4 separate regions of the Mus musculus genome follow, and all the other regions are reported to be linked to region 2. The links are microRNA targets in miRTarBase. Many come from high-throughput screens and were not tested one by one. Region 2 holds a microRNA gene; each other region holds the end of a gene's coding sequence.
What was found. Region 2 holds the annotated microRNA mmu-miR-582-3p (UAACCUGUUGAACAACUGAAC, at 2,072-2,092, shown strand). A microRNA usually pairs through its seed, bases 2 to 8, with sites in the 3' UTR of a target mRNA and lowers its output. Matches are read on the target gene's strand: a 7mer-m8 pairs with bases 2 to 8, a 7mer-A1 pairs with bases 2 to 7 and ends in A, and an 8mer does both.

Region 1: miRTarBase lists Gpi1 as a target of mmu-miR-582-3p. The part of its 3' UTR that is shown has no 7-base or 8-base seed match.
Region 3: miRTarBase lists Cd300lf as a target of mmu-miR-582-3p. The part of its 3' UTR that is shown has no 7-base or 8-base seed match.
Region 4: the mRNA of Dennd5b is a reported target of mmu-miR-582-3p. The part of its 3' UTR that is shown has no 7-base or 8-base seed match.

The regions. Positions count from the first base shown.
Region 1 is chr7:34,199,654-34,202,839 of GRCm38, forward strand. Gpi1 (glucose-6-phosphate isomerase 1) reads right to left here. Exons shown (of 18, transcript NM_008155.4): 16 at 3,162-3,186; 17 at 2,984-3,050; 18 at 1,674-2,896. The coding sequence ends at 2,761. Among named protein-coding and RNA genes, the nearest start is that of Pdcd2l, 4.6 kb to the left of the region's middle.
Region 2 is chr13:109,322,719-109,325,718 of GRCm38, forward strand. Mir582 (microRNA 582) reads left to right here and starts at 2,026; the gene lies at 2,026-2,106. All of the region lies in intron 3 of Pde4d (phosphodiesterase 4D, cAMP specific), which reads left to right.
Region 3 is chr11:115,114,282-115,117,467 of GRCm38, forward strand. It overlaps Cd300lf (CD300 molecule like family member F), which reads right to left. Exons shown (of 7, transcript NM_001169153.1): 7 at 1,933-2,869. The coding sequence ends at 2,693. It also overlaps a transcript of Rab37 not described here. Among named protein-coding and RNA genes, the nearest start is that of Cd300lf, 18 kb to the right of the region's middle.
Region 4 is chr6:148,991,289-148,994,446 of GRCm38, forward strand. Dennd5b (DENN/MADD domain containing 5B) reads right to left here. Exons shown (of 21, transcript NM_177192.3): 21 at 1-2,601. The coding sequence ends at 2,418. Among named protein-coding and RNA genes, the nearest start is that of Gm25539, 26 kb to the left of the region's middle.

The DNA.
Region 1 (3,186 bases), not on the chromosome of region 2:
TTTTTAATAGCTGAGTAGTACTCCATTGTGTAGATGTACCACATTTTCTGTATCCATTCCTCTGTTGAGGGGCATCTGGGTTCTTTCCAGTTTCTGGCTATTATAAATAAGGCTGCTATGAACATAGTGGAGCATGTGTCCTTCTTACCAGTTGGGGCTTCTTCTGGATATATGCCCAGGAGAGGTATTGCTGGATCCTCCGGTAGTACTATGTCCAATTTTCTGAGGAACCGCCAGACTGATTTCCAGAGTGGTTGTACAAGCCTGCAATCCCACCAACAATGGAGGAGTGTTCCTCTTTCTCCACATCCTCGCCAGCATCTGCTGTCACCTGAATTTTTGATCTTAGCCATTCTCACTGGTGTGAGGTGGAATCTCAGGGTTGTTTTGATTTGCATTTCCCTGATGATTAAGGATGTTGAACATTTTTTCAGGTGCTTCTCTGCCATTCGGTATTCCTCAGGTGAGAATTCTTTGTTCAGTTCTGAGCCCCATTTTTTAAGGGGGTTATTTGATTTTCTGAGGTCCACCTTCTTGAGTTCTTTATATATGTTGGATATTAGTCCCCTATCTGATTTAGGATAGGTAAAGATCCTTTCCCAGTCTGTTGGTGGTCTTTTTGTCTTATAGACAGTGTCTTTTGCCTTGCAGAAACTTTGGAGTTTCATTAGGTCCCATTTGTCAATTCTCGATCTTACAGCACAAGCCATTGCTGTTCTGTTCAGGAATTTTTCCCCTGTGCCCATATCTTCAAGGCTTTTCCCCACTTTCTCCTCTATAAGTTTCAGTGTTTGAGTGTAGTTTTAAGTGCCTTTTAATCCGGGGACCCAGAAGGGCTACCAAACACCCCCCCCCACACACACACACACTATTGCTTCCCTTTTGCTTTAACCCCCTTTAGCTCCAGGACATGTCCTCCCCTGAGCTTCCCTTGAATCTTCAGATAAAGACACACAGCTTGTTACTTTACAACTTACCTTCTGGGCACAATTGCTGGGCACAGATATCTCCTGCCTGGAAAAGCATCCACTTAACCAATTATCACCATCTCTCCACCTGCCCTAAATTTAGTAACTAGTCCCACCGAGCCCCTATTAAACATCCTTGGCGGCTCCCCTGAGAGCTCACATGGTTGTTGTGTCCTTCTTCCTCTAAAACACAGCAGAAAGACACTTTCTCCTTCCCTGCATCTATCTGCCTTTTTTTCCTCCTGGGACCTGGGAAGTCCACCTATACCTTCTGTCCAGCAATTGGCCTCTAGCTTTCTTTACTGACAAATCAAGAACCAATTGGGGAACAGGACTTTAGCATCAGAACCACCCACTTCAGTGACCAAGTTTGTGTACAGTCTACAGGGTAGACTCCTGTTTGAGTGTTTGGCCCAAAGGGAGTGGCATTACTAGGAAGTGAAGCTATGCTGAAGGGTGTGCCACTGTGGGGGCAAGCTTTGAGGTCTAACTTGCTCAAGCTAGGCCTACCTTCCGCAGCCTTCGAATCAAGATGTTGAACTCTTGGCTTCTTTTCAAGCACCAGGTCTACCCACATGTGCCACCATGGTCTGCCATGACAATAATAGACTAAACCTCTGGACTGTAAGCCAGCCCCAATGAAATGTTGTCTTTTACAAGAGCTGCTATGGTCATGGTGTCTCTTCACAGCAATAAAACCCTAAGACATGTACCAAGTCTTTTTATTGACTGGCCATCAAATGGGCCTAATTAACATGGTGGAAAGTAGAATGACAGGGCTGTCACTCAGTCTCACAAGGACTCACTGATAGCCAGGATATGAATGTGACAGTAATGACACCCTGCTAAAACTGTCTTTTGAAGGGTATAATCGAGTTCATCCCTGGGTTCTTTTGTTTGTTTTTAAGACTTATTTATTTTATGTATGTGAGTACATTGTAGCTGTCCTCAGACACACCAGAAGAGGGCATCGGATCTCATTACAGGTGGTTGTGAGCCACCATGTGGTTGCTGGGAATTGAACTCAGGACCTCTGGAAGAGCAGTCAGTACTCTTAACTGTTGAGCCATCTCTCCAGCCCCATTCCTAGGTTTTGATACCAAAAATAAAGCGAAGGTAAACAAACAAACAAGCAAGCAAAAACCTACCTAGTGAAGCAGAATTACTTTTTCCACGTCACCAAGGTGAGGAGGGGAAGGAGGTGAACACGTGACTGGAGAGCAAGTTGCCCACCTAACTGCAGATCCCTGACCCCACCCTACCCAACCCCTTTTTTGTAGACAGGGTTTCTCTGTGTAGCCCTGGCTATCCGGGAACTCATTTTGTGGACCAGGCTGGCCTTGAATTCAGATAGACCTGCCTGTGCCTCCCAAGTGCCCCTATCACCCAGCTGTCCCCTCATAACGATCAATCCTCCGAGACTGTGGACCAGCCCACCACCAAGTAAAGAGCCAACCAAACAAGGCATAAGCAGGGTCACCCACAAGTAACAGATAAAAGTACTGACTCAGTAAACTGAAGAGGCTGAGCCCCCATGCCTCCTCTAGGTGTCTTTATTCTAGCTGGGGTGTGAAATACAGGTCAGAACAACATGACACGTCAAAGCCCTTCCATCAGCTTCAACAGGGAGGGTGCGTAGTGGGTGGATGGCAGTTCCAGACCAGCTTCTCCCAACAGCCTTGTAGTCCAGGCCAACTACCGGTGGTGCGCTCTGGGCAGGGAGGGGCAGGACCATGCAGTGCATATGGTGAGAAGGGACACGGAGGACCAGTCAGTAGGGCCGCGGCTGGAGTTATTCTAGTTTGGTGTCCCGCTGTTGCTTGATGAAGCTGATCAGTCCGTTAGTGGAGGAATCATGGGAGGTCACAGCAGAGCTGCCCTCCAGCTCCGGCTCAATTTTCTTGGCCAGCTGCTTCCCCAGCTCCACTCTGTCGGGGGAGGGTGGAAGAGGAGGATGAGCCAGCCACATTCCAGAGACAACCCAAAAGCACAACAGAGATTCCTCGGCAACTCACCCCCACTGGTCGAAGCTGTTGATGTCCCACATGATGCCCTGAACAAAGATCTTGTGCTCATACATGGCTGCAGAGGAAACAACAGACGGTGCCCGTTAGGGTCTCTCTCCTTCCTTCCTTCCCTTCCCCATCCAAGTGACCCCAAGCCAGCCAGCTCATCCTTCTTCTCCTCACTCACCAATCAAGGCCCCCAGAATGAAGGG
Region 2 (3,000 bases):
TGCAACCCTATAGGTGGAACAACATTATGAACTAACCAGTACCCCGGAGCTCTTGACTCTAGCTGCATATGTATCAAAAGATGGCCTAGTCGGCCATCACTGAAAAGAGAGGCCCATTGGACACGCAAACTTTATATGCCCCAGTACAGGGGAACGCCAGGGCCAAAAAGGGGGAGTGGGTGGGTAGGGGAGTGGGGGTAGGTGGGTATGGGGGACTTTTGGTATAGCATTGGAAATGTAAATGAGCTAAATACCTAATAAAAAATGGAAAAAAAAGCATCTAATTTTATTAGCAGTGTTATAAGACAGAAGGCAAACTGTGCAAACATATATATAGCTAGCCCAGGAGACAAAATATCTTGTGTTCTCTTTTTAGAGAACTCAGTTCAGGAAAACCAACTCTCAATGGTGAGTGGAAATCGAGAAGTGTGGGCAATATGTCTAATGTTTACAGCTGAGACCTAGCTCCTTACTGTCAGTTTTATCTTAAAAAATGCCTTCCAGATGGGTCTGTGTCTTTCTCAGGCTAAAGAGCAGGGCAAGAAAGTCCTAGACCCTTTGTATGCAACTGATATGATGGATGATGGGTTTTTGCAGGACTCCAGACAGCAGTTGGTTATTAAGGAAGGGTAGGGCCCGTGGGAGCAATTGTTTCTGGCCTCTTTTCTTATCAAGCCCCCAAACAATCTTTCATTGACTGTATTCATGCCACAGGAGCACAGTCAATACAAAATCCCACCAAGAGAAAAATCTCATGCAGAAACAGCTGTGCTCAAAGTGCAGCCAGTTTACACTGGCAAGTGGGAAAACTTTCCCAGCTCTTTATATGTTGACTCTCGATAGCTGTGGTGTGAATGCTGCCATTTGTAAATAAGGGAAGCCTGGGTTTAAACAGCTTTCACTAATATCTATAGGTAAATGAGTGAAGTAGTCAGCCCTGTGGCACCTTAGAAAACTCTACTAATTCTCGTCAAAACAGACATGCATATGTCCAACATAATATGTTCAAGTGGCCAAGTTTCATTTTTTCCCCCACCTCCCATGAAAGTTGAGGTAGGACTTTTTTATGCCTATATCATGGTTGACCTGAAGTCCAGGCTGCAGAGGTACTGCATGCCATTCAAGAACATACAGAGTTAAATGTACTAATATTTTTATATGGTAAAGCTGGGGCTCGGGGTAGGGAATCAGGTTCTTGAAAAACAGAAAAGTACCCACCAGTTAGTTTTATTGAATTCAACACTTGTGTCACAGAAATCCATTGACTAAGTTAATTCCCTGAAAATGGCTGCGCTCTTTGCTGCTTACATCCACCCATTCCACTGCTGGAGAGTGTTCAGCTTATTGCTCAACGCTAGTGGACTTAAACAGAGCCTCCAAATTTACACGGTAAAATCAGCTACGCGACATGGTACAGAAGCCTGTCTTTGGCAGAAATTTAAAAAAAAAAATCAAGGAGTAGAGAAATTATTACAGACAGGCACTAAGAAAGATTGGGATTCCCCAAGAATCTAAATAAATATTGAGCAGAGGCGAATCCCTTGGAGAGACGAGAGCCTTCTGCTTTCAGCTTAATGAAGCAGGGCTTCGGCGCTTCCTGGTCTGCTCCTGTGTATATGTCCTCTGCACGATGCTGTGTGCCTGACTAAATAAAGGTAAAAGCCCGGACCTGTGTCTTATGGTGTTGGCAGTGACTGCATATTCACTCTAATGGAAACTGTAAAATGTGAAGGTTACCTCCTTCACATTCCTTGAAATATTTTTCCTTGTTAAAGTTTCTCTCAGCCAGAGGCCATGTATTAAATTTCTATTATGTAGGGCAGCCTCTTTTTCTATTTCTGTCTCTTTCTCTCCCTCTCTGTCTCTCCTGTCTGTCATGGTACTCTGCTAATACTAGATGTTCAATGGATATTTAACACCTTTCTCTTGAATGTATGCGTCTTGTTTGACATCATTCTTGCACACACTGAAGAGGACAGACTGAGCCGGGCTGAACACCGCTGGCCAATCTCCCTCGTAATCTGTACTCTTTGGATACAGTTGTTCAACCAGTTACTAATCTAACTAATTGTAACCTGTTGAACAACTGAACCCAAAGGGTGCAAAGTTGGAAGCATTTCATTGAGAAGTCAGCTGAGGACAAAGGAAGCTCCGCCAATCCCCTTCAGTGCGGAGAGGCGAAGACTGCTTCTCAAACACAAGCCGTGCCACGTGATCCCTCCGAACGCCCGTCCGGTGGTGATGCTGCGTAAGTCTGCATGTATCATCTGTTCTCCTGCTAAGGATTATACATAGTGCAAGCCCCAGAGACAGTGCTACTAGCCATGTGTTTTTTTTTAAAAAAAAAAAAGCTATCTGAAAATCAGCAAAGTTATGAGACTAAAGGGTTCGGAAAGATGAGACATATTCCTTTGATTGGTGCTCATGTCTCAAGGCTGATATGGGCAATTCCAGAAGCTTCCAGAAATGAGATGTGAAGTGGTCCTTGGTAGTTTTAGGAGGTAATGTAACCAAGTTTATTCATGGCAATGGGCAGTAGACTGACTTTTTTTCTGCTTCTTTTTAACCGAAATATATTTTTTCAAGATGTGGCTCAATTAGCAGAATGCCTTCCCAGCATCCCCACAGCCCTGAGCTTAATCCCGTGTACCAGATTAACTAGGCATAGGGACACATGCCTGAAATTCTAGATCCCAAGAGGTAGAAGCAGGAGGGGCAGAGGTTTAAGGCTCAGCCTCAGCTACAGAGTTTGAAGTCAGTTTGGGATGCCCAAGAACCCTATCAAGAAAACAGAACAAAACACCCAAACGCCAAACCTTTCTTGGTCTTAGGATCGCATACTATTAGTAAAACTTTATGCTAAAAGGAGTGTGTGTTGTTTCAGTGTTTTCCAAGGAAGTTCCCAGGGGACATGTCTACACAGTAGCATCTAGTGAAAAGGGTAGATTTGAGTTCTGAATGATTCTAAATGTCATACAAGATGGTGTCCCCTTTTCTTAT
Region 3 (3,186 bases), not on the chromosome of region 2:
GCAGGAGCTGGACCTAGACCCTCTACACGTTTGTAGCAAATGTGCAGCTTGGTGTCCATGTGAGTCCCCTAACAAGTGGAACAGGGGCTCTAGGTCTCTATTCCTTTCCAGTGGATCCAGCATGGACTGGGGTAGGAGGACTGCGTGTTTCCTCAGTGGGAAAGAATGTGCCTAGACTTGCTGAGACTAGATGCCTCAGAGTCAGGTTTTACCCAAGGTTTTACCCTTCTCTGAGAAGAGAAGGGGACAGGATTTGTAAGGGTGGGACTGGGTGGAGAGAAGGGGGGGGCTATGATCAGGACATACAGTTAATTAAATTAAAATAAAAACAAACACAACCCCCCAAAACTGCATGTCTTGGCTGGGCGACCCAGCATTTGGAGAGACAGTGGCAGGCAGAACTAAGTTCCAGGCTGGCCTGATTTATAGAGCGAGTTTCAGGACAGGCAATACTACAAAGAGAAATTCCATCTTGAAAAACAAAAATGATAAGAATTATAATAATGATAAATAAAAATTGTGCCTTACACAAAAAAACAAAACAAAAAACAAAAACAAGCAAACAAACAAAAAAACAGTCTCACTCCAGACTAACCAGCCCAAATGGCCAACTCAATAGTCAGGTTTGGAGCTAGAGAGATGGCCCAGGGGTTAAAAGCACTGGCTGTTCTTCCAGAGGACCAGGACTTGATTCCCAGCACCCACATGGTGGCTCACAACCATCTGTAATTCACGTCCCCGGGGATCCGATGCTGTCACAGTTACATGTGTGGTGCAGTGTCAAAGACACATACATCAGGCATGCACTCATACACATAAAATAAAAATAAATAAAAATCTCAAGGAATAGAAGAGTCACGCGTGGGGTCAGCAAGATGGTTTAGCTGGTGAAGTCGTTGTTATGCAAGCCTGACAGTCGGAGTTCTGTGTCCAAACCCCACGAGGTGGAAAGAAAAACTAATGCCTGCATGTGTCCTCTGACCTCCATGACTCGTGTACCTACCATAAAAATACAGGGGTAGTGAGTGCCCCGCCCTGAGAAGGACACGGTTTTACTTTCTTAGTCAGCTGTCCACTGCACTGACAAATTATTGCGATGGTAATTTATAAGCTCGTGGTTTTAATCCACGGCTTCCTGACTCCGTTGCCTTGAGCTTGTGGCCAGCACGAACATCGTGGTGGGGTGCATGTGGCAGAGAAAAGCAATTCATTTCCCAGTGGCCAGGAAAAGAGGAGAGGCCAGAGTTCCCATTTCGCCTTCAAAGGTATACTCCCTGTGACGTCACTCCCCACCATTAAGCCCCGCCCTCTAGAGGTTCCACTGACTCCCAAAATAGCCACAGACTGGGGATCAAGCCTTTAAGTGCCTGGCCCTTGGGAGACGTGTCAGACCCAAACTGGAACATCTAGTCAGGAAAGAGAAGAGGCTGGTGTGGAATGGATAAAGAGTACTAAGGGAGAGTAGGTGGAGTTAGGGTTCACACGGCAAGCCGGGGTCATGGGTTCCTTGCGTCCTCAAAGGCAGTGGAAGAAGCCACGGAGGTTATAAGGCAGGCGCCATCAACTCTGAGCTTTGAAAGGACTATGCTGGTTGCTGGGAGGAGCATTAAGTTGGGCGGAGGAAGAAGAGAAACCAGGCACAGAAGAAATGGCTGCTCTGCCTAGGCTACATCATCATGAAACCAAGGATATCTTCTGAGGAGAAAATCGCTAGGACCCCAGAACGAAGGCACTAAGCCCGATGTCTATAAATACTCTAAGACAGAAGTGGTGGTGCACACCTTTGATCCCAGCACTTGTGGGGCAGAAGCAGGTAGATCTCTGTGAACCGGAGGCCAGCCTAGTCTACAGAGTGTCTAGAACAGTTTCTATAGTTCCAGAACACCCAGGGCTATGTAGAGACCCTGTCTCAAAAAACCAAAGGTAAGGAAATAAATAAAAACAATACAACTTTATTCTTCTACAATTCTGAAAGTACACAATCAATTCAACTCCACCCAACCCTTGACACTGGCAGACCTAATCGCCACCCAGTGCTCCGCTCACGGAACAGAACAGTCTGATACTTGGCCTTGCTGGCTGCTGGATGTGCAACATCCTGACTCCTTCTGCATCCCTCCACCTTCTGCTTCTGTTGTTCTCTCTCTTTCTCTCTCTCTCTCTCTCTCTCTCTCTCTCTCTCTCTCTCTCTCTCTCTCTCACTCTCTCTCTCTCTCTCTTCCTCCTTAAAACAGACCCTTGTGGTTATATTTTGGGCCTACTTGGATAATACAGACTCATCTCAAAACTCTAACTTAAACACATATGTACTTATCTTTCTTTGTATAAAATAATTTACAGATTATGGGTATGAGGATGAAAATGTCCTGGGGGGAGGGGCGGGGGAAACCCATATGAAAAACAATAAATAAAGGTTGATTGCTATTATTGTCATCGTTGATACGATTTACACAGCATCCCTGAAGCAGCCTGCCTGGTACCTTCCAAGGTACATTGGCTATAAGTGGGGATGTGGAAGGAGCCTTAATTCCCTGGAACTCCCTGAGGTTGAACTCCAAGCTCAAGCAAGGTAGAGCTGATGGCCATGAGAGACGGATGGACAGAGTTCCAGTCACCAGCTGGGCCGGGTAAGGAAGCAGGTACAGAGGCAGATGTAAAGATCCATGCTCCAAGCCGCCTTCAGAGACCAAGATTAAGGCATGGCTGCAGGCAAGGGCCTCCTGATGCTGCTGTACTCTGTGGTCTCCTCTTCAAGGCCTGTCCTGGGAACGTGGGTGATGGGGCAGCCAGTATTGCCATAAGTAGGCTCCTGACCCAAGCCGGCCAAAGTCAGAGCGGCATATGAAACCTCCTCCCTGGGAAAGGGAGCCTGGGATATAGAAGGGGACAAAGTCAGATCTCTGAAGGGGAACAGTGGCCACCCAGTGAGACAAAAATCTTAGAGGAGGCAGGTCAGGTCTCCCATTCTGGTAGGAACCCCAAATAACCTTCAGCTACAATACAACGGAGCCCCCACCTCTGCCCAAGGAGAAGCACTTCCTACGGGATCCTGAGCCACTGGGACAGCCTGGCTCTTCCCTGCCCAGTGTTCGGACCAAGACCTCTGGGTTGAGATGTGGCATGGAGACACTTCTGAAGCCGCTTGCTCTGTTCAGACCCCACCCTCATCAGCTGTGTCCACATGGG
Region 4 (3,158 bases), not on the chromosome of region 2:
GTAATTTTTTGTTTTTTTGGTACTACTTTAAGTAACAGTTTTAAACTTAAGCTGGAATGCAACTCTGCTCCCATTTTTTAACCACAGATGTAATGCCTAAGAGATTAAGAACAGTTTGGTAGGCAGGGCTCTCACATGAATCCCTCACTTAGGAGGTAGATCTCTCCAGGTGAGCCTGGTCTACAAATGAAGTTCCAGGGCCAGCCAGGGATATACAGTGAGATCCTGTTTCACAAACAACAACAAAACAATCTAACGCGGCAAGGCAAGCTTCAGTCCTTATTATTCTGCATCACAGAAACATAGCTTCCTATCTGTACAGTTGACTGAAGATTCAACAGAAGAAATGATCCTGAGTAAGAATGTCTCCGAGGTTGGTTTCATGCTCTCGGGTGTGGTAAAAAGCATAAATTCTAACCCTTGTGTTGTCAAGGGGGAGAGGGCAAGAATACAAAGTCTTTGATTTGAAGTGTCCTATTTTCACCTATAAAATGAAGAGGCTGTACTTGCTGTTGGGACTCAACTGTGGAACACTGACTTAAAAGTCCACCAAGCGCTCAGCATCAGGATGGCCCCATGGGAAAAGACAGCAATAAAACCCTGGGATGGACTGTATCTTAATTTGTGGATGTTTCCTATAGTAAGTAGATTGGTCTCTAGAATACTCTCATTCTACTATAAACACCCTTATTCTAAGTAAACAAACCACTGGGTTACACAGGTCATCTAGAGACATGTTCTAAGCCCTTTCTTTCCATGGGTGTGTAAATGTATCCTCAGCAACCCTTTTCTTCAGAGTTTCTGATAAAGGGCATGAGGTACTTGATCTATTAGTCCCTTCCTCCAGTAAACAGGAAAACAGCACTGCTGGCAAGAGCCCAGGGCCCTGAGATTGCACACGGATCCTGAGAGGCCATGGCTTGGGTTTTCAGCTACAACAGGGAATAAAACCTGGAGCTCTGCCGAGGCAATTTTGCTACTAACAAGGTATCGGTGCCTAATTAGAGTTCCGAAACTTACTCACCAAAAGATAAAGATTTATGTAGTTGCTAACATTTGCTTAACAAAAAAATAAATAAGCTATCAAACTAGAAAGGTTTCAGGAGTTCCTAAATTGTCTCTTGAGTCAAATTCACTCCTCAGTCTGCCACAGTGGCTTTTAACTTCTCTGGGACAATTGCTTTACATTTCCCTGAAACACCCAGAAAGGCTTCATTCTTTCTCTCAGCTTCTGTTATTTGCATTATCATGGTCAACAAATACCTTCACAAAAGCATTCCAAATCACACTGAGACCTCCTCCTTCTCCCACATTCCTTTTATTTCCTGAGAGGGGGGATGGGGCGGACAGAGGGAGTGGCTGGAACCTAACAAAGACTGGGCTGGTAGTTTAGCTCCACTTAAAGAGTTTAGATGGCCAAGTTAAAAGTCACACTGTTTCTTACAGTTATGGCTATATGATTGATACTAAAATTCATTATCTCAAAAGCCCTATCAAAGAACAGTAATAAAAATTCCAAGAACGAAGCCTCCAGGCTAATCTTTCAAAAGTAAAGAAGTTAAAGTCCCATGCTTCTCAGGGCTTCTTGTGTTTGCTTTCCAATTAGCCAAGCTCTTGGGATCTGGTATTTGCGCTCTCTCTCTCTCTCTCTCTCTCTCTCTCTCTCTCTCTCTCTCTCTCTGTTGAGATAGGGTCTTGCTATGTAGCTCTGTCTGGTCTGCAACTCAGATGCACCTGCCCCTGCCTCCCTAGTGCTGGGAGTGCGCCACTATGCCTTGCTGGGGTCTGATATTTAAAATACTTTAATTATCTTTTCCTTATGCCAATGAAAAACGTTCCCAAAAACTAAAAAAATTACTCATAATTCAAATGTATTAAATGGTTTATAACTTAAAAGGTACAATGAGGACTGCTGTACACTATGTAAAGCTGTATACATTCACCACACACAGGATGGGACTCCAGGAGGGATGGCTGCTTCAGGACAAAGCATTCTGGTTCCTTTGTGAGACCTGGAGGGAAAAAGAAGCCTTCCTGGGTTGCACTATGTACACATTTACTGGCTTCTTCCTGACTAGCACCGCTTTCCCCACCCCCAACATTTTTAAACTACTTATTTTAAGTCACAGGGATATTCAATCTAAGAAAAGTATCTTATTAGAGTAATATAATTTCTTAAAGATAGCATATTTACACACTTCTAACACATGAAAATACTCTATTTTATACTAAATTTCAGGTTCAAATGAACTACAATACAGCACTTTGCCTTGTCTGCAGAGTGGAGACTGTTCAAACTGGGGCTTCCAGTGCACTGCCCCGGCAGTGCTCACTATGGTCAGACCGGTCCAGATAGGTCCCCATAGTTACGGAAGCTTCAGGAGCCAGGGGTAGATGAAGAGTTTCTGCCGGCTGCTTTACACATCCACTCCTTTGATTAGTGATCCTTCCAAGACTATGGTGAAATCCTGAATGGTCTGAAGAATTCGGATAAGGGAGTTGACAGTCATGTGGTCTCGAAGCAGTGCATTCTCTTCATACATTCGGGTGATGGCAGGACATTCTGCTAGCAATGGAATCCACTGTGGAAGCAGGTGATCCCTACAGACCAAACAGACACAGGACTTGAGCTCTAACAGATACAGTGTAACTGGCTCCCCCTTGTGTCTTTCCCTTTAATTATCAGCCTGTTGAAACAATACAATTCAATCCTGTTCCTCAAAACCCTAGGATGATTGGGTGTATATATTTCTCTCTCTCTTCCCAATATGGGCACATGGAATAAATCTCTCTTCTGCTTCTCACTATGCATTTTATTTTTCTTAAAGATTTATTTTATTTATATGAGTACACTGTAGCTGTCTTCAGACATACCAGAAGAGGGAATCAGATCTCATTATAGATGGTTGTGAGCCACCATATGGTTGCAGGGAACTGAACTCAGGACCTTTGGAAGAGCAGTCAGTGCTCTTAACCACTGAGCCATCTCACCAGCCCCTCGTCATTATGCTTTTTAAACTTAAGAGCAGTGAATGCTCTTAACTGCTGAGCCATCTCTCCAGCTCTTGCTTTCACTATTAATTAGGCTCTTTTACTTGGCTTAACCAGGACAGGTAGCTGAACCTGGCTTGTTCTGGCACAAGGTATGATCCACAGGT